Linked DNA regions of Stegostoma tigrinum. The protein of the gene in region 1 purifies or fractionates together with the protein of each later gene. This does not show direct contact. Links are inferred from orthologs where the notes say so. Each region holds a gene or a part of one and is shown in the gene's direction. Other genes may lie near its edges.

Region 1 (10,289 bases):
ATCCCACCTCCTTGACCTGTCCGTCTTCCCTGGACTGACCTATCCCCTCCCCACCTCCACACCTATACTCTCCTCTCCACCTATCTTCTTTTCTCTCCATCTTCAGTCCGCCTCCCCCTCTCTCCCTATTTATTCCAGAACCCTCACCCCATCCCCCTCTCTGATGAAGGGGCTAGGCCCGAAACGTCTGCTCCTGACATGCTGCTTGGCCTGCTGTGTTCATCCAGCTTCACACTTTATTATAATGTGATAGATCATGTTGGGTTGGGATACTGTTAGAGAAGGGTACCTTAGACAGATTATCTGTTGAATTATTTAACTGATATTTCAACTTTGATGTGTGCAAAATAGTTTTTTTCCTCTTTAACAATTCTAAATAATTCACTGGCTCTAAAGTACTTTGAAATGTTTTGAGCTTGTGATTGGCTCTACATTATTGTAAGTTATTCCTATCTTCCTAAAGCACTCACTATCATCCACCAAACCCCATAACAACAATTCATATTTATATAATACCCTAAATATAGAAAATGTTTCAAGGTCTATAATACAGCAAAATATTTTTGTCTTCAATCAGACTGTGAGCCATCCCTTAAAATTTGATTGGTTACAATTTTTACCAGCAATCAGAGAAAGTAAATGCTCAAAGAAACAATTCAATTTAATCATACTGTTGTCCTGCACACCTGTTATTCTATGGAATGGGTTTATTTTTTGACACTTTTTTTCATTAATATTAAAATTCCTTTAATCCTCTGCTCCAAAGGATACATCTCTCTTTTCAGGTTCAGTTGTACTGGCTGCTGTGCGCCTTTCGATAGCGTAAAAGGAGGCCACTCTCTGTGTGACAGTGTTGGATCTTTGCAAAAAAATCCTCACTGTCCAGGATGGGCCTGGTTTTCTTTTCTCTGCTGCAAACTATCTTTCACTTCCTTTCCCCTGTCTCCTCTATTCTCACTTCTACTTAAGTGCGGGGAATTTATCTAATCAGCTGACTCTGCTTCATAACTCCCTTTCACTGGATCACTGAGCCGAACTTCCTCTAAATTCCATCTGCCCAACCCTGTACTCTCATGTTTCTTGAGTATCTTTCCTGTCATCCATCATGTACTATCCGAGTACAACTTGTTCATGGACCCTTCCTCCTTCAAATTTCTCCAAATTTCCAAGGAACAGCTGAAAACTTGCCCTCCTTGTCCCCCGTGTCAGCCAATATTATCAATGTTTCCCTGTCTTCATGTGTTGTCTCTGCCCCTGTAAATCTGCCATTACCACTCCTCTCTGAAAAAAAGTCATCCTTTGATAGTAACATTCTTCAAACTACAGCTTCATCTTGACCCTCCGTATCCTCTCCAAAGTCCTTGAATATTTTGTCACCTACCAAACCTGTACCAATGGTTCCCAGAACTTCATGTTTTAATTTGTTCAGTCGGGTTTCTGTCTCACCATAGCGCCAAAATAGCTCTTATCAAAGTTATAAATGACATCCAGTGTGACTGTGACAAAAGTAAATATCACTCCTGATTCTCCTGCAGTCTTTCACAAGGTTGACTATGCCATGCTCCTCCAGAGCCTCTCTACTGTGAGCCAAGTAAGTGGGACTGCTCTCAATCAGTTGCATTCTTATCTATCTTATTGTATCACTTGCAATGGTTTCTCCTTCTTCTGTCATATTTTTATCTCTGGACTCCCCCCACCACCCCCCCAGCCAAAAGAATTTATCCTGACCTTTTTTTGTATGCATGTTGAAAGCACAGAGTAGGTTTTCACAAGTATGCCAACAACAATACAACGTTACCTCACCATTACCTTTTTCACCTTCTCCACAGTTGCTAAACTATCAGACTGCTTTAGCCGACATCCAGCACTGGACAAGCAGAATTTTTTTTCCTATTATGTATTGGTTTGACTGAGGCTATTGAACTTTGTCCCTTCTTTAAAGTTTGCTCTCAAGCTACTGACTGTGTCCCTTTCCCAGTCAACAGTTTGAGACTAAACCAGATTGTGGTCAACATAGTTGACTTAATGGCTGGAGTGCAGTACAGAACAATGCCAATAGTGTTAATGCAATCCCTGTTTGGGGTCTGATAGTTCATGAGTCCTGCCTCCTCATTTGCCCTCCCACATTTGAGAAGTGGTGCCTCTCAAGCTACACATAACTAATTGTCTCACTCTAAGGGAGAGATCCAGTTCAGGTCATTTGTGGACACTGGTTAATTAATTATCCTTCCCCACTGGGTGATTTTCCAACGATATATTTGCCCATTGTTTAGCCCACCTTTCCCAACTTCTGTAAAATCATCTGAATGTGTCAGTCTCAGCTCATCTGCTGATGATAGTCTCATTCAGGTCGTTGCTACCTCTAGAGTTGACTACTCCATTGCTACTGTGGCTTCCATTGTGGCTCCCTCCCACATGCTGCCCTTTATAAACTTAAAGGCATCCAAAACTCTGTTGTCTGTATCTTAACTCACACTAAGTCTCCTTCCTTTACCAGTCTTGTCATCACTGACTCACATCAATTCAGAGTAATGCAATGTTTTGATTTAACAGTTTTATCTTTATTACAAATCCCTTTACAACTTTGTAATTGGCCAGACATTTCCTTATCGTAGAACCCAAAAAGTGCAGAAAGAGGTCTTTCAGCTCATCAAGGCTACACTGACCCTCCAAAGAGCATCCCACCCAGATTCAGCCTCCCACCCTCTTCCCATAATTCTCATTTAGCACAGCCAATCCACCAATGTAACCTGCACGTCCCTGGACTGTAGGAGGAAACCCAGCAGAAACCCACAGGGAGAATGTGCAAACTCCACACAGACAGGTACTCAAGACTGAAATCAAACCCAAATCTCTGGTGCTATGAAGGCAGCAGTACTAACCATTGAGCCACTGTGCTGACCCAAATGTTATGTTGCTTATTATCATATTTTGTTTTTTAATGCCCATATGAAGTGTCTTGGCACATTATATCATGTTAAAGGCACTATATAAACATCAGCTGCGGGAATACTGGCACAGGTATAGGCAATTCAGAACATCCAATATGCCCACGAATAGATTAGATCTTGGCCATCCTTCTACCTCGTTGCCACTTTCCTACTCTGTCTTCATATCTCTTAATGTCATTAGTTTCAGAAACTGATCAACTTCTGTTTTGATCATGCATACTTCCATAACACTCATTCAGAGATTCACCATCCTCTGAATGAAGAAATTGCTGCTGATCTCAATCTTAAATGGCTTACCCTTCATCCGGAGTTTATGTCCCCAAGTTCTTGAGCCACCAGCCAGTGAAGGCATCCATTTACATCCACCCTGTAGAAATTTCATAAATTTTAATAAAATCACCTCTCATTCTTCAAAACATTTGTTGTTGTTGTTTGATTTGTGGAGGCTATGGGGGTGAACTGAATCTTGCCCTTATATAATATTTGTATTTGCACTGTTTCAATAAGAAACAGAAGAGGAACAAAGTCTGAATTTCTCCTCTTTGACTCAGGACTGCTATTGTGACGTTCATATTGACTCCTCCCACATGCTGCCCTCTATAAACCTGAAGACATAGGTTCAGAAATGGAAATTTGAAACAAATCTAAATCCAGCTAAAGTCTAGGAAATTTCAATTTTCAATCTAAAGCATGATCACGTGGGTGCCATTTCCATTCATGTCAGCTATCCAATTTGGTAAGTAGATTTATATCCAAATGCCAATAACCCTCTAGTGAGTACACAAATCTAAGCAACAGCAAAGGACAACTGGTTCCTAATAAGATATAAATGTTGAGACAGATGTATAGATTAATGAGAATGGACAAAACGAGGAACATGAGGGTTTCAGTGAAGATTGTGAGGGCATTGATGAAAGTAGCTGAGAAACGAGAGAAATGGTATTGATGAAAGAGGGAGGAAATGTGGTGAGACAAGTGAAGAAGATGGGCTGGCCAAGAACAAAGAGAAAAGGGAGTCCTAAGCCTGTTGAGAAGATGCAATGAGAGACTTAAACACAGTGAATTGGAATGGGAATGGGTGACTGACAGAGAAAAAAACAGACATGAGTGCTCAAGTACCAAAGTAGGAAGAGCCTAGAAGAGGAAGAAGTATTGTTTTGTAGATTGGTTCTCGGCTGGTTTTAAGTAGCACAGTTGATATTACCAGCTACAGTTTGCAATCAAGAAAATTTAAAACACAAACGCAGTTCCTGAAAGTGATATCAGCCAAGAAACTGAGTGGAACGGGTGACCCAGTTGAAGGGTTTTCATATTTATGATAAAATAGAACTTTTTCTAACATGTGGCTGTAATTTAGAGTAATTGCTTTTACAAAGGGGAGGGAGAAGAAATCCAATGCTAATGTTGCTTTTCTGTTTGCCCATTGTGTTTATCTCTTTTTTCCTAGGTAGTCTCTCAGGATTGAGGGTCACTTTCATGCTTGAATAGTTGGGAAGATGAGTTGCATGCAGGTTTGTGCACTACATCAGGCAGCTTGACCTTTGGTCTGTGCACATTCTCGATGAAGATTCTTGAAGTATCTAACAAAACTTAATACTACTTATCCCAAATTTACTTTGTTTCAATGTTTGAACATTTCAATTCTACATTTCTGGATTTTTTTCTTATTCCTTAACAGATATATTACAGTGTTTTTTTCAGATTTTACAATACTTTTCCACTTTGATTGATCACATGCAGGTACACCATGAGTTGGGAATAATGTTTGACTCTGGGATGCTTTGAGGGCATATGCTGTCCATCTGGGATTATCCAACTCCAAGCAAGCACAAAATAGAGTGGTTGCTTTGGGTGTCTGGTGTCAGGCAAGTGCAGCATATGTCCCATCAAGTGGAGCAGCTTTTGAATTATTTTCAGCTTAAGGCTGGACAAACTGGCTTGGGAGAGGATGCTGCTGTTGGACCTTCTTTCTTACCACCAGTTTTGGAGGACCACATAAAAGGTGTTACTTCTCCAGTCATTGGAGGTGCCTGATGTAAGTTGTTCAAGTCTCCAAACCATTTCGGAGGAGCACAGAGCTGCGCAGCAAACCGTGACCTTTATCTCGAAGGGTCACTGGAGCCGAAACGTTAACTCTGCTTACTCTCCACAGGTACTGCCAGATCTGCTGAGTTTTCCAGCAATTTCTATCTCTGCACCTTTATATTGGATTTCAGATACTGATGTTCAAAACGCTTTTCTTCAGTCAGCTTATGTCTGAGCTGGTAGTGGAACCAGTGATGAACTCAGCAATCTATGCTGGCTTTCATGGAGAAAGCTCCTAATAATCATTCATCCGCATTTTCCAGGATCTTAATTGATTAGTGGGATGGTACTGTGAGGCCCAGTTGAAAGAGAATCTGTTTCGGTGAAATTCGTACTGAGAGGTGTAATTACTGTCCAAACTAAAGAAACCCTCCCACCCCGCAAAGCAATGAGCCTGAAACAGCTGCGATTGGAAAGTTGTGGGTAACTGGGGTGGGCGGAGCAACGTGCGTGCTGGCGTCCCAGGAACGCCGTGACGCACGTCTGTCGTTCCAAACACGACGTGAGGTTTGAGAAGCGGCGGCCTTGGTGGGGGTTGGTGTATGACGTGCTTCGCGGAGCGGGGCCGTGGTCTCCTGGGGAGCGCGGTGATATTATGGGATGTTAGACCTGGAGGAATGGCGCTGGGCGCGTGATTTTGAACAAACACGATCGGTCTCCCGGTGACGAGCGCTGTGTGTCTGGTAACCGGGGCCGCCAGCGCCGCCTCAGGCCCCAGGCGGCCGCGATCCTTCTCCATGCCGCCCGCTTCCAGCTCCGAGCGGCCCGGAACCCGCAGCCGGTGAGTATCCGTCAGCGGCACGGCTATGTTTATGTCAGGGAACGCTGCACCGCTCTGCCTTCTTGGCCCCGACGAAACTGGGGCTGGGCGGCTTCGGAGCACCGGCTGATGGCGGCCGGGCTGGATTGAGAGTGCAGCCCCCTATCTGGACTGAGGCCGGGAGGGTGTGGAGCCCCCGATCTGACTGGGGCCGGGGGCTTCGGTCGGTTTGACGACGACTTTCTGCCTTGTATGAGGTGCCTTCTGTTGAAGTTGTCCGCGGTGTTGTCAGTGGCCTCACTGACTGTTTCCCTCTTTCTAAAAGACTCTCCTCCAGTAATGGCTCTTTGATCGTCCTCTCGCCTTCATCCCAATCCCCCCCCTTATCCCCTTTTCTGTTTCTTTCCCATGATGTCGCCTTAATTTGTTTGAAACTACTTCCACCACCACCGCCCCCCCAGCCACCACTGCCGTCCAGCCGTGCGTTTCGTTTTCTTTTTGCTGTGTTAAACTGTGTTGTTTTTAATATTGTGTAACTTTAATGCATTTCTGAAACTGAAAGGTTCACGTCGCTCTTATAACTCTGGGTTTGTAAAATACATTTGCAATAGTGACTCCTTCGAAGATGACCTACGATCAGATTTTTTTTAAAAAAAGAAACCAAAATAGCTACTGGATCCTGCCTGTATTTGGTCTGAAGCGGTATCTGTAATTTCTGTTTCGCAGCGGTGACTGTTCATCGCGGAGTTTAATCTTGGCTCCTGACTGATCTCCCCAGTTATAAATTTCCCCGGACCCTGGGATCATGATCCCAAAGGGCTTTGTACTGTCAGTGTTCTCAAGAACGGGCAGTATCACAAAGCCCAGGGTCGAATTTTTTTGTTGTTGTGCTGACCTTATACAGGAACCATTTCTTTAAGCCCCGCCAGCGATTTGAACGGGAGCAAGAAGTGCATTTAGATGTTGAAGAACATATCTGAGATTTTGTTTCCAGCAGGTAGATTGCTGATTTGTAAGTTGTTTGTTGTTTGAGGAGGAATGCGCCAGGGCATCAGGCTGAACGTTTGTGGGGTTTGTTCGGCAACTGTGGTATTTCCTGTTAGTTTTTTTTCCGCGGTTTTTTCGTATGATTTTTGTATATCTCCCAGTCTCGCTCAGGCCCTGCCTTTCTGTGGAAATGTGATGACGAGGTGAAAATGGCGGACCTTTCGAAATGCAATCCCTGCCTAATTATACACCCGAACCTAGTCTGAAAAGCCCGAACCGGCTTTGGGCTCTGCCCAGCCTCTCAAACACAAAATGACACATTCTCTCTCTTCACACCCAGATGTCACGCTTGTAACACTTCAGGTTTCTCTGCCAAGCATAGATAGCTCGGTTGCAAAGGCCTGCAGTTCTCCTTTTGAGATCGTTTGGAGAGACGTGGCTCTCTGAAAGATACAGTAAGATATACCCAGATTCCGCCTAACAAAAGATTACGTCTAGAAGTTGTCTAGCCATTTAGTTTACCTGGTCAAAGTACAATGTAAAATCATTCACATGACGTATGTAGGATTTCTAACGGCAAGCATACTTTGCGATATTTCTATTGAGGTTTTTCATCAATAAAGATAATTATCAAATATAAGTCATGCATAAATGTATGTCGCAAAAATCTTCATTCTTTGATCTTTTTGCTCTACTCTGCTGCCGGTTATGTTATTTACAGCGCCCCCTCCCCAATATTAAAAATTAACCAGTTCCGCCCCCTTGTCCTCCCAGAACACGGCTAAGTTGTCATCGTCAGATTCATAACTGTACAAACGCGAACAAGATTCCAGTCAACCTGTTTAGGAATGTTGTTATACACCTCTGGAACAGGTGTGACTTGAACCTGGGCGTCATGGATACTGCATCCTTGACTATCAGCTCTCTGTTCCAGGTTTGGAGGCTGTGATCCTGTTTCTCACTTTGTGTTCACTGTGGGAACGATTGCTCAGCTCCAATTTTTCACCTTTGTAATGTCGCAAAACATCTGACTTGAAGGATGGAGTAGGAAAACTTACGGGAGTTGGAATAAAGTGCTGCTGAGGAGATGTGTTTTAATGGTGAAAAGAAATATAGCAAAAAGCAAGGTAGATAGAATATTGCAAGATAATACAGACACGATGGGCTAAATAGCCTACGTTGTATCATTCTTTTGATCGCTAATGGTGGAATGTAATATAGAAGGGATCATGATGTGGGTAGAAGTTGAAATATCAGCAAGTGCAGACAAGGAAAGAGGGCTGGGGAAGGATGGGAAGCTGGAATTACAAGGAGGACTGAAAAGAAGTTGTGCTTCTGTCTAGTCACCCATTGAGATGCAATTGTTTGTGTGGTAACTTGTTGGCATGTGACTGCTATTTTATCCACAGCAAGCCTTCGCGAACATATGTATGATAAATGATGATTAATTTATCTGTTGGGCTCAAATGGGAGACCACTGACCACAGTGGGAGACGTTGAATTGTTTGGACTGATCAGGGTGTGGTGCGTCAGTTTTTCTAGTGTAGATTTTGCTTTGCTAGAGACTAGTTATGCAGTAAAAAGTTTTTAAACTGAAGTAGAAACTTTTAATAGAAAGTCCTGTGTGAGGCTTGCATACATTCCAATCTCTTGAAAGTAAACAATACATCTTTTTAAAGTTAATGTAAACACCTGCTTGGTCAACTGAGCTGTGTAATGCCTCTGATGTTCGGTGAAAACACTGACAGACCATCGAATGCTAAGGAATATTGCTCAATTTATACAGGGGAGAGGGGGAGGATAGACACTTTACCATTGATTTCAAAGTGTGTACTTGCCAATGCAGAAAATAGGTGAAATATTATTAAGCTTTGGCTGCCTTTTGTCCCTGTTTGTCCATTGACATCCTTGCAATCGAAATGTCTGCACATTTGCTGATAGAAGCAGTGTTAATGAAAAAGGAGTTCATATTTGATGTGGGAAATAGAAAAATCAGAACAACCAAAGGATTTCTTTTCAGCTGGGATTAACAAATGTTGAATAAGTAAACAGAAGGCTTGACAGAATGAATACTATCTCCACAGATTATCCTTTCTTTGATTCTTTCCCATTATGTAACCTCCTTGCTGTGTTGCTAATGGAGAAAATTCAAGTACCGAATAATTTTTGCCCGTCCTGGGAGATAGTTGAACTAAGCTGCAAAATATTTGTGTATTCTCACTGCCATGCAAACCTGTATGTTTGGTTTCTACAGTTTGTGCTTTATTTGGTGACAGCAAGCACTGCAGACTGTTTAACTCTGACTGTTGTAACCTTCCATATTTTTCATACTCATGGAATGTGGATGTTGCATGCAAGCATTGCATGTATTATCCATTACCAGTTGCCCTTGACAAGATAATGGTGAAGCGCTGCAGTGACTGTGGTGTACGTATTCCCAAAGTATAGCTAGGGGAGGAATTTATGGGATTTTGACCTAATCCCAGTTGGGGGGGTGGGAAGCGTGCAATACACTTCAAATTAATGATGTGCATTGCTTGGAAGAGGAAACATGCCAGTGTTGGTTCCCATGCTGCCCATGTCCTGTGTGATAGAGTGCATGGTTTTGGAGGACCATTGTGCATGTTGAATGTGTTACTGCAGCACTTCTAAATGGAAAATACTGCAGCCATTATGGCCTGGTGATGGATGGAATCAGTGTTGAGGCAGTAGATTTGGTCTCTAGCAAATCGGTTGCTTTATCCTGGATGTTGTTGAGCTTTGTGTTGTTGGAGCTGCTTTCATCCAGACAACTGTTCTGAGTTACAAGTTGCAGATCATGCAAAGTATTTAGAGAAACAAAATGAATTATTTGCTGCAGAATTCCTAGTTTCTGACCTGCTCTTGTAATAACACTAGTTGTGGCTGATCCAGTTAAGTTTGTGATCAATGGTATCTCCCCAGGATAATGATGTTTGGGTATATGGCAATAATAATGCCATTGAATATAAAGGGGAGCTGGCCACTTCTTAGCATTTGTAGCACTAAACCAGATAATTATCTAGAGTTGGCTCAGGTTGTGACCTTCCATCTATCCTGATGAATAGTCACAACTGGAAAATTTTTAATCTTGTTTCTTGCTGCTGCCAGATCTTTATTTCTAGCATTTTCTTTTTGTTTCAGTCTTCGATCATATATAGTATTTTGCTTTCAGATAGTTCGCTAGCCCTGTTCTGTGGACCAAGCACAGATTATTGTTGAAACATTATGGCTAATGCTGCACCTGATGCAAAAATGTGTAGAGTTGACACTGATAGAAATAACCAGTAAAATAAGTGCATCTGTTCTACAATAATTACTGTTACAGGCAAAATAATCTGTAGGTTTTCAAAAAAAGAAAAAAACCCTGCTTTTTGAAGGAGCTTCCCACTGGGAGAAGATTCTGGCCTGTCAAGAATTACATTTGATTTTCTTGACAGTCTTGAGTAGGAAAACTCTCAATCAGGTTAGCTAGTAGTGTGTTTATA
Region 2 (10,880 bases), on another chromosome or scaffold:
CAGAATCAACTACACGCACTAACAGAAACGATCCGTGCTGAGGGAGTGCCGCACTGTCGGAAGGTCAGTGCTGAGGGCATTTCCAGTATTTGAATGACAAATGAGTGGGATTTACGAAACGTAGGATGCTTACCAACAGCAGGCTCACACAGCAGGATGGAGACAGGACAGGCTGATACTTCCTCAGCGGGATCAGAGACATTCGGAGATCCTACCCCGTCAGAGCTGACAGGAATGAGGCCACTGCAAGAAGATTCACTGGACAGGAGGGAACAGAGAAATACATCAGAGGTGAGAGATTAGATGGAAGTAATCACATCAACTTAAAGTTAAACATGATGCCTTAGTCAAAACGGCGCTCTCTCTGCACTCACCCGCCGACAGTGCGGCGCTCCCTCTGCACTCACCCTCAGGGATTCTCGTCACTCTCACTGCAGCAGTAGAGGTTTTGTTTCATGTTTTACCAGCAGAATTTGCTCAAGTAGAGTCCACACGCTTGATCAATAGGTGTTGCTCAAGTGACTCGGGAGTGTGAGGTGCTGATTGGTCCCCATAGCTGTTCCCAATGAAACCATACTGACAGAAAGGATTTGTTGTGCAGAGCACAAATTCTCTCAACCTTAGCGCCGAGGAAGTCCATGATCTCCCCTCCCCGTTTGTCTGAATGGTTGGCAGTAAGGTCAGGGCACAAGAGGTTTGGGACGGGGAACTCTTTTTGACAGGATTGGTTTCTGCGGACCCTCTGACATGCTTTGTATCGATTGGCAGTCACCCAGCAGTCGCACGCACTACCAGTGGGCTCACACAGCATCTTACCTGCGCTGCAGCAGGCGATTTGCTCTTTCCTGGAGATGAACAGTCTCCAGATCAAAGGACTCCAGCTGGGAAACCTCTAAATGTTCACCCTGGAAAAGAAAATGCATCTTGGAGACTTTAACAGAAACGAGCTGACATACAGCAATGTCTACAGATCTCACGCTAAAACTCCCTCTGGATATCAGTTATTCTATACATAAACCATCCCAAACCCTTTGATTAGATTCCGTCTGTAATTCACTCCTGTATATCTGTTATTCTATATATTAACCATCCAGCGAGAAGGGATAGATCTCTCTTCAGACCCCAGTGGAGATCCCCTCTCTGTCTAAACCAGGGACAGCGATCAGGGGCAGGAAGCTTGGCTGAATTCTTCTCTCCCTAACACAGGTGTGTCTGAGGTGTACTGTACAGCCCACCTCATTCAATAACAAAGATGCAACGAAACACACTGATGGCGTGCAGGACTATGTCCCACACAGAGCAGATCTCTGTCAACAGTAAAGACAGAGACATCACTAGGATGATACCACCTGCTGCAGGACTGATGCTCAGAAACCCCTGGCAACACAGCACAGACGCACACGAATACTTACTCCTGAGGACAGTCCGGTCTTCATTAAAGACAGACCTGGGAAGCTGGGCAGAGATATTTCCGCAGGCAAGTGTCCACATTGCTGAATAGAATGAGAGGCAGATTGTCTTTCCTCAATGGTCAATGAACGAATATCTGTGGGCAATAACAGAAGCATCAAAGAGAACCTTTTGCCTCAAACTCACCAGGCTTCAGCAATTCTAACGACACCCACCACGAGGAAGTTTCCACTAAACAGCCATTCTGACAACTGCCTCCTCTTCATGTTTCAAAGCATATAATCCAGCAGATTGTGTTGAGTAACAGATATCTGGGAGTTAGTTACAGACTGGAATCCGATTGAGGATTTTGGGTTGGTTTATATAAAGAATAACAGATACCCCGGGGTGAGTTACACACGGGAATCCAGTCTTGGGGTTTGGGGTGGTTTATATTCATAATAACAGACACCCAGGAGTGAATTGCAGACTGGAATCTAAATGATTGGAGGTAGTCATGGAGGAGCAGTATAATTTTATCCTTGCTGAAGCAACTGTTGATACAGGAGTGCTCTTGTACCTGGGTGATGCTGGTGTGTCTCCTGTGTCGGTGTTGAGCTGCTCGGGGGTGAGCTCCTAAGCCACCAGAACTCACTGCTATCAGTGTCGATTCCAGTGGTAGTACACTCCCGTTCCTCTCTGCTCAGTGGTTTGCCATGTCGGAATCGCTGGATGTACCTGAATGCAGATGGACAGGCCAGGATTAAGCTGCAATCCTTCACAAGGGGTGGGTGGGTGGGTGAGTGGGGTGGGGGTAGTACTGAGCAAAGATGACCTGTCTAACATAGCTAAAGCCAACTGGAAACTATAACGTGTAAATTATTGCGACTAACAGCATGGTTCCATCCAGCCCATCTGACGAGTCCGAGGATAGAGAGTGTAAAGAGCAGATCCTTGCTCCTATCCACTCTCTATCTTGGGACTCGTCACATTATGCCAGTGAGGAGCGGTTGGCTGACTGTGAAGTTGGTGGTGTTGTCACTCACTTTGCGATAATTGAACTCTCCGCTGGGTCAGCCTGTGGACTTCCTGACCAACCCTGGTCTGTACGGAACATCTCCTGCGATTCTGCTGTGGACCCTACCCTTGCCTCGCTTCCTGGCTCTCCTTCAGGCGTCAGGAGAGAGCTGCTCTCGGTGGATGGCCAAGACTCCACCAAGGGGCTAGCTATCCCAGCATCTGTCCCTTCACCCTGGCACACCGGCTGGTCAGTTTGTCTCGGAGCATCCTGAGAGGCCAGAGGAGGTTCTGTTGGAAGCGATGGTCTAGGCAGCTGGCACTGACCTGGTTTCACTACCTGGAAGGTGAGACATAACTGAGTCATTAAACACGGCACTTCCTCAGTACGTACCCCTCCTCTGCAGCATGTTGTCAGGTGCTTCCCCAGGTAGACAGGTCTCTGTTCTTACACTTGAGGCTGGCAAAGAGAGCGGTAGTCTGGTTGATAGTCAAGGCCAGCATTAAACCAGAAGGATGAGCTTGCAATATTCTAACCCCTTCAACCTGGCCTGTGCTCCTAACAATGCCAACCCTAGTCTCACCTTTTTGCCCTGCTGCTGAGGTATCCTTTGGGGAGAGGATGGGTGGTAGTGACTGCGGGAGAGCTGAGATTGTCCAAAAGGGTTTCCTGGACTAAACACAGAGCTGTCAGACAGATGGAAAAAAGACAATCAGAATCAGTGGCTTTACTGACAGCTTAAAAACCATTTACCAACACTGTGATGTTCACGGAAACCCCAAAACTGATCACTGATACCAATCCTGAAACTGAGAGAGAAATGGCCCTCTCACACCACTCCAAAACTGTGTCACTCCACGTGTCTGAGTCTGTTGTCTCTGACTCTCTCTCTCTCTCTCTCTCTCCCCCACCGTCCGTTTCTGACTAGTTCTCCCTGATTATCTCCGTCTGATTATGTCTTAAATATGTTAATATTAATAATCTGATTCACCCCTACTCTGACTCTCAGATTATACAGTGTTATACTTTGTGATTATATTATTGATAATCACTGACTCACTTCTACTCTGTCTCTTTGATTATATATTTATAAACATAGTATTACATTGTGAGATTATCTCATTGGTCATAGAGTCAGAGTTGTACAGTATGGAAACAGATCCTTTGGTGTGATTTGTCCATGCTGACCAGACATCCTAAATTAATCTAATTCAATTTGCCAGCATTTGGATCATATCCATCTAACCTTTTCTAATCATGCCTTTTAAATATTGTAATTGTATCGGCCTCCCCCACTTTCTTTGGGAGCTTATTCCATACATGCACCACCTTCTGACTGGAAAAGCTGCTCCTTTAGTCCCTTTTCAATCTTTCCTCTCTCACCTCAAACCTATGCCATTTAGTTTTGGACTCCCCGACCCCAGTGACAAGACAGTGCCTTTTCACCTTATCCATGCCCCTCAGAATTTTATAAACATCAATAAGGTAACCCCCTAAGCCTCTGAGGCTTCAGGGAAAATAGCCCCAGCCTGGTAGCAACATCCTTGTAAATCTTTTCTGAACCCTCTCAAGTTTCACAACATTTTCCTATAGCAGGGAGACCAGAACTGCACACAGCATTCCAAAAGTGGCCCTAACCAACGTCCTGTGCAGCCGCAATCTGACCCTCCCAACTCCTTTACTCAAAGGAGTAAAGGCAAGCATACCAAATACCTTCTCCACCAACCTGTCTACCTGCGACTCCGCCTTCAGGGAAATATGAGCCTGCTCCTCAAGGTCTCTTGGTTCAGCACACTCCCCAGGACCTTATCATTAAGTGTATAAGTGCTGCTCTGATTTGTCTGTCCAAAATGCAACACCTCATTTGTCAAAATTAAACTCATCTCCCACTCCCTGGCCTATCTCATCAAGATCCTGTTGTACTGTGAGGTAACCTTCTTCACTGTCCACTACATCTCCAATTTTGGCATCATCTACAAACTTACTAATCGCATTTCCTATTGTTTACACCTCTGAATAACTTCTAGGCTATCTCTCTCTCTCTAACTGTATGGTATATACATGGTGTTATGTTATTGATTATATGATTAAGAATGATTATATATTATTGACAATCTCTGATTCACCTCCACTCCATTTCTAGATGAGTGCTTTCATTATGTGAAGAATAATGCTTACATGATCACAATATTAGAACAGAGAACATAGAACAATACAGCGCAGAACAGGCCCTTCGGCCCTCGATGTTGCGCCGACCTGTGAACTAATCTAAGCCCCTGCCCCCACACTATCCCATCATTATCCATATGCTTATCCAAGGACTGTTTAAATGCCCCTCATGTGGCTGAGTTAACTACATTGGCAGGCAGGGCGTTCCACATCCTTACCACTCTCTGAGTAAAGAACCTGCCTCTGACATCTGTCTTAAATCTATCACCCCTCAATTTGTAGCTATGCCCCCTTGTATAAGCTGAAGTCATCATCCTCGGAAAAAGACTCTCACTGTCCACCCTGTCTAATCCTCTGATCATCTTGTATGTCTCTATTAAATCCCTTCGTAGCCTCCTTCTCTCCAATGAGAACTGACCCAATATTAATAACCTCTGATTCACCTCCACTCTTTTCTACAGTATATAATAGTCTAATTACATTAAGTGATGGTTATAAACTATTAAAAATATCTGGTTAATTGTGCTATGTCACAGTTTGTAGTTAAATATTATATACATGGTGTTATATGATATGATTGCTACCCTCTGATTAAGCTCCACTGTCTCTACAATATAGTGTTGTCATTACATAAGGAAGATGGCTACACAATACTCAATGACTGATTAACTTCTGTCTGTCTCTCTAATTGTATAGTATTACGTGATGTTATATTATTGATATGAACAAGAATGAGTATACAATATTATTGAGAAGCTGATCCAACCCCACTCTGTCCTATACCATACAATTATATTTATACCCATGATTATGTTACATAACATTATTAATCTCTGATTAACTTCTACTCTCTCTAATTATATATTATTGATAACCTCTGATCAGCTTCTACTGTCTCTCTCTCTCTAATTGTGCAGTGTGTATATATATATATATATATATATATATCCCTATATATATATAAAATACATATACACACGCACACACACACCTATACATATATAGACATATATATATACACACATACATGGTGCTATATTATTCATATAAGAATGAGCATATAATAATATTGAGAATCTGTTTCAACCCAAATGTCTCTATATTATAGTGATGTGATTATATTAAGAATGATGATTACGTTATATAACACTAATAATCTATGATTAATTTACACACGAATTAAATATTATACACATGGCGTTATATATGATTGGTAACCTCTGAATCAGCTCCACTCTATCTGTACATTATATAGTGCGGTCACTACATTAATAATCATGTAACATTGAAAATTGCTAATTACTTTGAACTGTTTCTCTCTAATTAAATACTATAAACCGAGGGCTATGCTGTATAACACTTCAGACCCTCTTTGATTCACCTCCACTTGGAATCCTCCATTTTCCCGCCGCCTTCAACGGTCACGGAGGAGGCGGGGCACATCTCATTGGACGCCAGGTGGAGGGCGGGGCTAGATACAAGACGGACAGGGCTACAGCCAATAGGAAACAGGAACGGTACCGCGTGACAGGATGGGATGAGAATTGACGTAAAAACAAGGAGGGCCGTCGGAGCCGGAGCTTCAGGTCAGTCTGACGTAGGTAGTGTTAAATGACAACACAATTAATGTAAAACTATAAAACTATAATTATCGTCAAAGGGAGGGAATAAACTACCAGCGTTATCACCACCACGGAGGCGGGGGGGGGGGGGAAACCGATGAATAAGACTAGCAGCAACCTACGGCAAATCCTCCATTTTCCCGCCGCCTTTAACGGCCCCGCCAAGGGGCGGGCCTTATAGGGGGCCGGCAGGAGGTGGGACTAGTGGCTTGACAGACGGTTTGGCAGCCAATAGAGCGTGAGGACGGGCATGACGTCTGTTGGGAGCGAGATAATAGGAAGTGCAGATGCTGGAGAGTGTGAGATAACAAAGTGTGGGGCTGGATGGACACAGTAGGTCAAGCAGCGTCTCAGGAGGGCAAAAGCTGGCATTTCTGGCCTGGACCCTTCATCAGAAAAGGGAGATGGAGAGAGGGTTCTGAAATACATAGGGAGAGAGGGGGAGGTGGACCGAAGATAGAGGAGAAGATAGGTGGAGGAGACAGACAAGTTAAAGGGGGAGGGATGGAGCCTGCAGAGGTGAGTGTAGGTGGGGAGAAGGGAGGGGATAGGTCAGTCTGGGGAGGATGGTCAGGTCAAGGGGGTGGGGATGAGGTTAGGAGGTAGGCAGTGGAGATGGCACTTGAGATGGGGATTGGTGAGAGGAAGAACAGGTTAGGGAGGTGAGGATGAGCTGGGGGGTCAGGGGATTCACTCATTAACAACACTCCACCCCCAGAACCCTGTGTTACTGGCTGTATCCCTACTGATGTTAATCCCTCTCCCTCACACTGTCACTCAGTAACCCCTCTCCCCCCCCCAGGGCCCTGTGTTACTGACTGTATCCCTACTGATGTTAATCCCTCTCCCTCACACTGTCACTCAGTAACCCCTCTCCCCTCCAGCGCCCTGTGTTACTGACTGTATCCCTACTGATGTTAATCCCTCTCCCTCACACTGTCACTCAGTAACCCCTCTCCCCCCCAGCGCCCTGTGTTACTGACTGTATCCCTACTGATGTTAATCCCTCTCCCTCACACTGTCACTCAGTAACCCCTCTTTCCCCCCCCCCCCAGCGCCCTGTGTTACTGACTGTATCCCTACTGATGTTAATCCCTCTCCCTCACACTGTCACTCAGTAACCCCTCTCCCCCCCAGCGCCCTGTGTTACTGACTGTATCCCTACTGATGTTAATCCCTCTCCCTCACACTGTCACTCAGTAACCCCTCTCCCCCCCAGCGCCCTGTGTTACTGACTGTATCCCTACTGATGTTAATCCCTCTCCCTCACACTGTCACTCAGTAACCCCTCTTCCCCCCGCCCCCAGCGCCCTGTGTTACTGACTGTATCCCTACTGATGTTAATCCCACTCCCTCACACTGTCACTCAGTAACCCCTCTTCCCCCCAGAACCCTGTGTAACTGACTGTATTCCTTCTGTTGTTCATCCCACTCCCTCACAGTCACTCAGTAACCCCTCTTCCCACAGAATGCTGTGTTACTGACTGTATCCATACTGATGTTAATCCCTCTCCCTCACACTCAGTGACACACCCTCCCAGAGCCCGGTGTTACTGACTGTATCTCTGTTGATGGTAATCCCATTGTCTCACACTGTTACTCAGTAATGCTGGCTGTTGGGATTGATTCTCTCTGTCACAGGTCTGTTTGAGTGCTGTTGGTCTTTGTGGCGATTGCTTGCCTATTTCCATCGTGTGAATGAGGCCCCACAGCAGTAACATGATTTCAGTTACCGTGAAAACTGAAAAAGCAGGTAGGCTTGAACTAACTGCCCTTCTCGGTGCTGGCTCCTATCTCTTCATCATTCCTTATCCCTTTCCTTCCCCATCATGACTCCCTCACCCTGAATTTATTCTGTGTTTCAAGTTCAGCAAGTATGGTCTCCCTCCAGTACCGAAGATAAGGTTTAAACATTCAAATAGGATGACAGAGTGAAACTGTTTCTTCTGCAGGGGAGCAGAGAGTTCAGAAGAAGGGACACTCTGTCCAAATCCCGGCTCGATCCACGTGAGACGGTGAGGAGGTTAGAGAGAATGAGAGGAAGGAAATTCAGGACCTCTCTCTTGGTATGCACAGCAATTTTTGGTTCATTGAGACAATTGCATGGAGGATGCTGACTGGTCTCCTCCTGTTCCTGTGCTACAGGCTCGAGGAGGGGGCTGACTGGCATTCTGCTGTTCCTGTGCTGCAGGCTTGAGGAGGGGCAATCTGGTCTCCTGTTCCTGTGAAGGAGGAGGTGGTGAATTTTTCACTGCTGCAGCATTGCTTCTACTCAGCAGGTGGTGGTGCTGAGCGATGGCTAAATCTGCATTAGAACAGACAGAACAGGGGAACAGGCCAGGTAAGGGAGGCAGCTCTAGACCCCTAGAGTTAGTCGGTGGCTAGGAGCAAGAGCAAGGACTGAAATAGTAGCTCTGCAGCAGGAAAGTGTTTGGAAAGGTTTGTGAGGGCAGAGAAATAAAAAGACCCCTGTTCTTACTGTCACCAGCTCAGGACAATCTGTGTAGCTAATGAAAGGCTTCCTTTTTTGAAGTGAGGACTCTGTTGCAATGGAAAATTTCCTCAGCGCTGACCGTCCAACAGCGCTGCACTCTCTTGGTACCCTGTTTACTTATTCCTTTGTGTAACAAAGTTTAGTCTCTTACATGGTTTCTGTGAGTTGCAGATCTTGAGGCTTCGACAGCTCGTAATCGTTTAGATGCAGTCCTCCAGTGTCTGGTTGAGAAGAGTGATATTGAGAGGTAAGTGTTTAGTTTTCCTTTGATTTGGACTAATTCACTTGGACATTGCCATTGATCTCTAAATAAAAACCAAAAGAACTGTGGATGCTGTAAATCGGGAACAAAAACAAAGTTGCTGGAAAAGTTCAGTAGATCTGGTAGCATCTGTGGAGGCGAAAACAGAGTTAACGTTTCAGGTTCTGAGGAAGGGTCACCGGACCCAAAACGTTAACTCTGTTTTCTCCTCCACAGGTGCTGCCAGACCTGCTGAGCCTTTCCAGCAGCTTTGATTTTGTTCCATTGATCTCTATCTGTGTGGCAACAAAAACTCTTCAGTTCTGGCTGACAGTCCCTCGCTGACAGCCATTGAGCTCTCTTTTGTGCTCATGACTGTAACTAACAGTGTGTCTAGCTCTCTGTTATTTCACTTTTTGTTTCTGTGCTCACTATTATAACTGACAATGATTCTCGTTCTCAGCTGTTTCAGTTTTTCTGTTCACTGTTGTAACTGTTTTGTTGTCTTGTGTTTCCATGCCCGTTACTGTCACTCAGCCTTCTCTTTCTGTTTCGGTTTCTGTGCCCACTGTTGTAACTGAGTGCCCCTCTGCGGTTTCGGTTTCTGTGCCCACTGTTGTAACTGAGTGCCCCTCTGCGGTTTCGGTTTCTGTGTCCACTGTTGTTACTGAGTGCCCCTCTGCGGTTTCGGTTTCTGTGCCCACTGTTGTAACTGAGTGCCCCTCTGCGGTTTCGGTTTCTGTGTCCACTGTTGTTACTGAGTGCCCCTCTGCGGTTTCGGTTTCTGTGTCCACTGTTGTTACTGAGTGCCCCTCTGCGGTTTCGGTTTCTGTGTCCACTGTTGTTACTGAGTGCCCCTCTGCGGTTTCGGTTTCTGTGTCCACTGTTGTAACTGAGTGCCCCTCTGCGGTTTCGGTTTCTGTGTCCACTGTTGTAACTGAGTGCCCCTCTGCGGTTTCGGTTTCTGTGTCCACTGTTGTAACTGAGTGCCCCTCTGCGGTTTCGGTTTCTGTGTCCACTGTTGTTACTGAGTGCCCCTCTGCGGTTTCGGTTTCTGTGTCCACTGTTGTTACTGAGTGCCCCTCTGCGGTTTCGGTTTCTGTGTCCACTGTTGTTACTGAGTGCCCCTCTGCGGTTTCGGTTTCTGTGTCCACTGTTGTTACTGAGTGCCCCTCTGCGGTTTCGGTTTCTGTGTCCACTGTTGTTACTGAGTGCCCCTCTGCGGTTTCGGTTTCTGTGTCCACTGTTGTTACTGAGTGCCCCTCTGCGGTTTCGGTTTCTGTGTCCACTGTTGTAACTGAGTGCCCCTCTGCGGTTTCGGTTTCTGTGTCCACTGTTGTAACTGAGTGCCCCTCTGCGGTTTCGGTTTCTGTGCCCACTGTTGTAACTGAGTGCCCCTCTGCGGTTTCGGTTTCTGTGCCCACTGTTGTAACTGAGTGCCCCTCTGCGGTTTCGGTTTCTGTGCCCACTGTTGTAACTGAGTGCCCCTCTGCGGTTTCGGTTTCTGTGCCCACTGTTGTTACTGAGTGCCCCTCTGCGGTTTCGGTTTCTGTGCCCACTGTTGTAACTGAGTGCCCCTCTGCGGTTTCGGTTTCTGTGCCCACTGTTGTAACTGAGTGCCCCTCTGCGGTTTCGGTTTCTGTGCCCACTGTTGTAAAAGACAGCGTCTCTCACTCTCTGCTGTTTCAGATACCAGGCTGATGATGAGATTGTGAAACCTGTGCTTTCCGATCTACAGAGCAAGTGAGTTTGTCCTGTGCTGTGGGAGCCTTCTGTGTGCTGATTTGGGTTGGTACCTCCTACAGATGGGTAGACTATCCCATCTCATGCTGGAACCCCTCTGTCTGATAGAATCAGATTCCAATATTCAGCTGACCCCCTCTGACCACAATCCATTGATATTTAAAACAGAAACCGAGAGAGGGAGTGTGGGTGGGGTGGGAGAAA

What was found.
Region 2: the proteins of lin54 (region 1) and lin37 purify together in Homo sapiens (affinity purification with mass spectrometry; 4 studies listed by BioGRID and IntAct, counting the BioPlex papers as one, with this or other methods). This does not show direct contact. The link is inferred for Stegostoma tigrinum from reciprocal best matches to the Homo sapiens genes LIN54 and LIN37.

The regions. Positions count from the first base shown.
Region 1 is NC_081354.1:77,503,395-77,513,683, forward strand, and holds the start of lin54 (protein lin-54 homolog), read left to right. Parts: upstream 1-5,602; 5' UTR 5,603-5,817; intron 5,818-6,024; exon of another isoform or gene 6,025-6,046; intron 6,047-10,289. UniProt on the Homo sapiens protein: Component of the DREAM complex, a multiprotein complex that can both act as a transcription activator or repressor depending on the context. In G0 phase, the complex binds to more than 800 promoters and is required for repression of E2F target genes.
Region 2 is NC_081394.1:563,399-574,278, forward strand, and holds the start of lin37 (protein lin-37 homolog), read left to right. Parts: upstream 1-6,086; 5' UTR 6,087-6,162; exon of another isoform or gene 6,163-6,284; intron 6,285-6,320; coding exon of another isoform or gene 6,321-6,334; exon of another isoform or gene 6,335-6,352; intron 6,353-7,839; 5' UTR 7,840-7,896; coding exon 7,897-7,951; intron 7,952-8,150; exon of another isoform or gene 8,151-8,493; coding exon of another isoform or gene 8,494-8,539; intron 8,540-8,863; coding exon 8,864-8,939; intron 8,940-10,622; coding exon 10,623-10,676; intron 10,677-10,880. Other genes in the region: proser3 (proline and serine-rich protein 3), read right to left, coding at 134-258, 817-905, 1,413-1,546, 1,970-2,127, 2,436-2,746, 2,991-3,093, 5,958-6,019.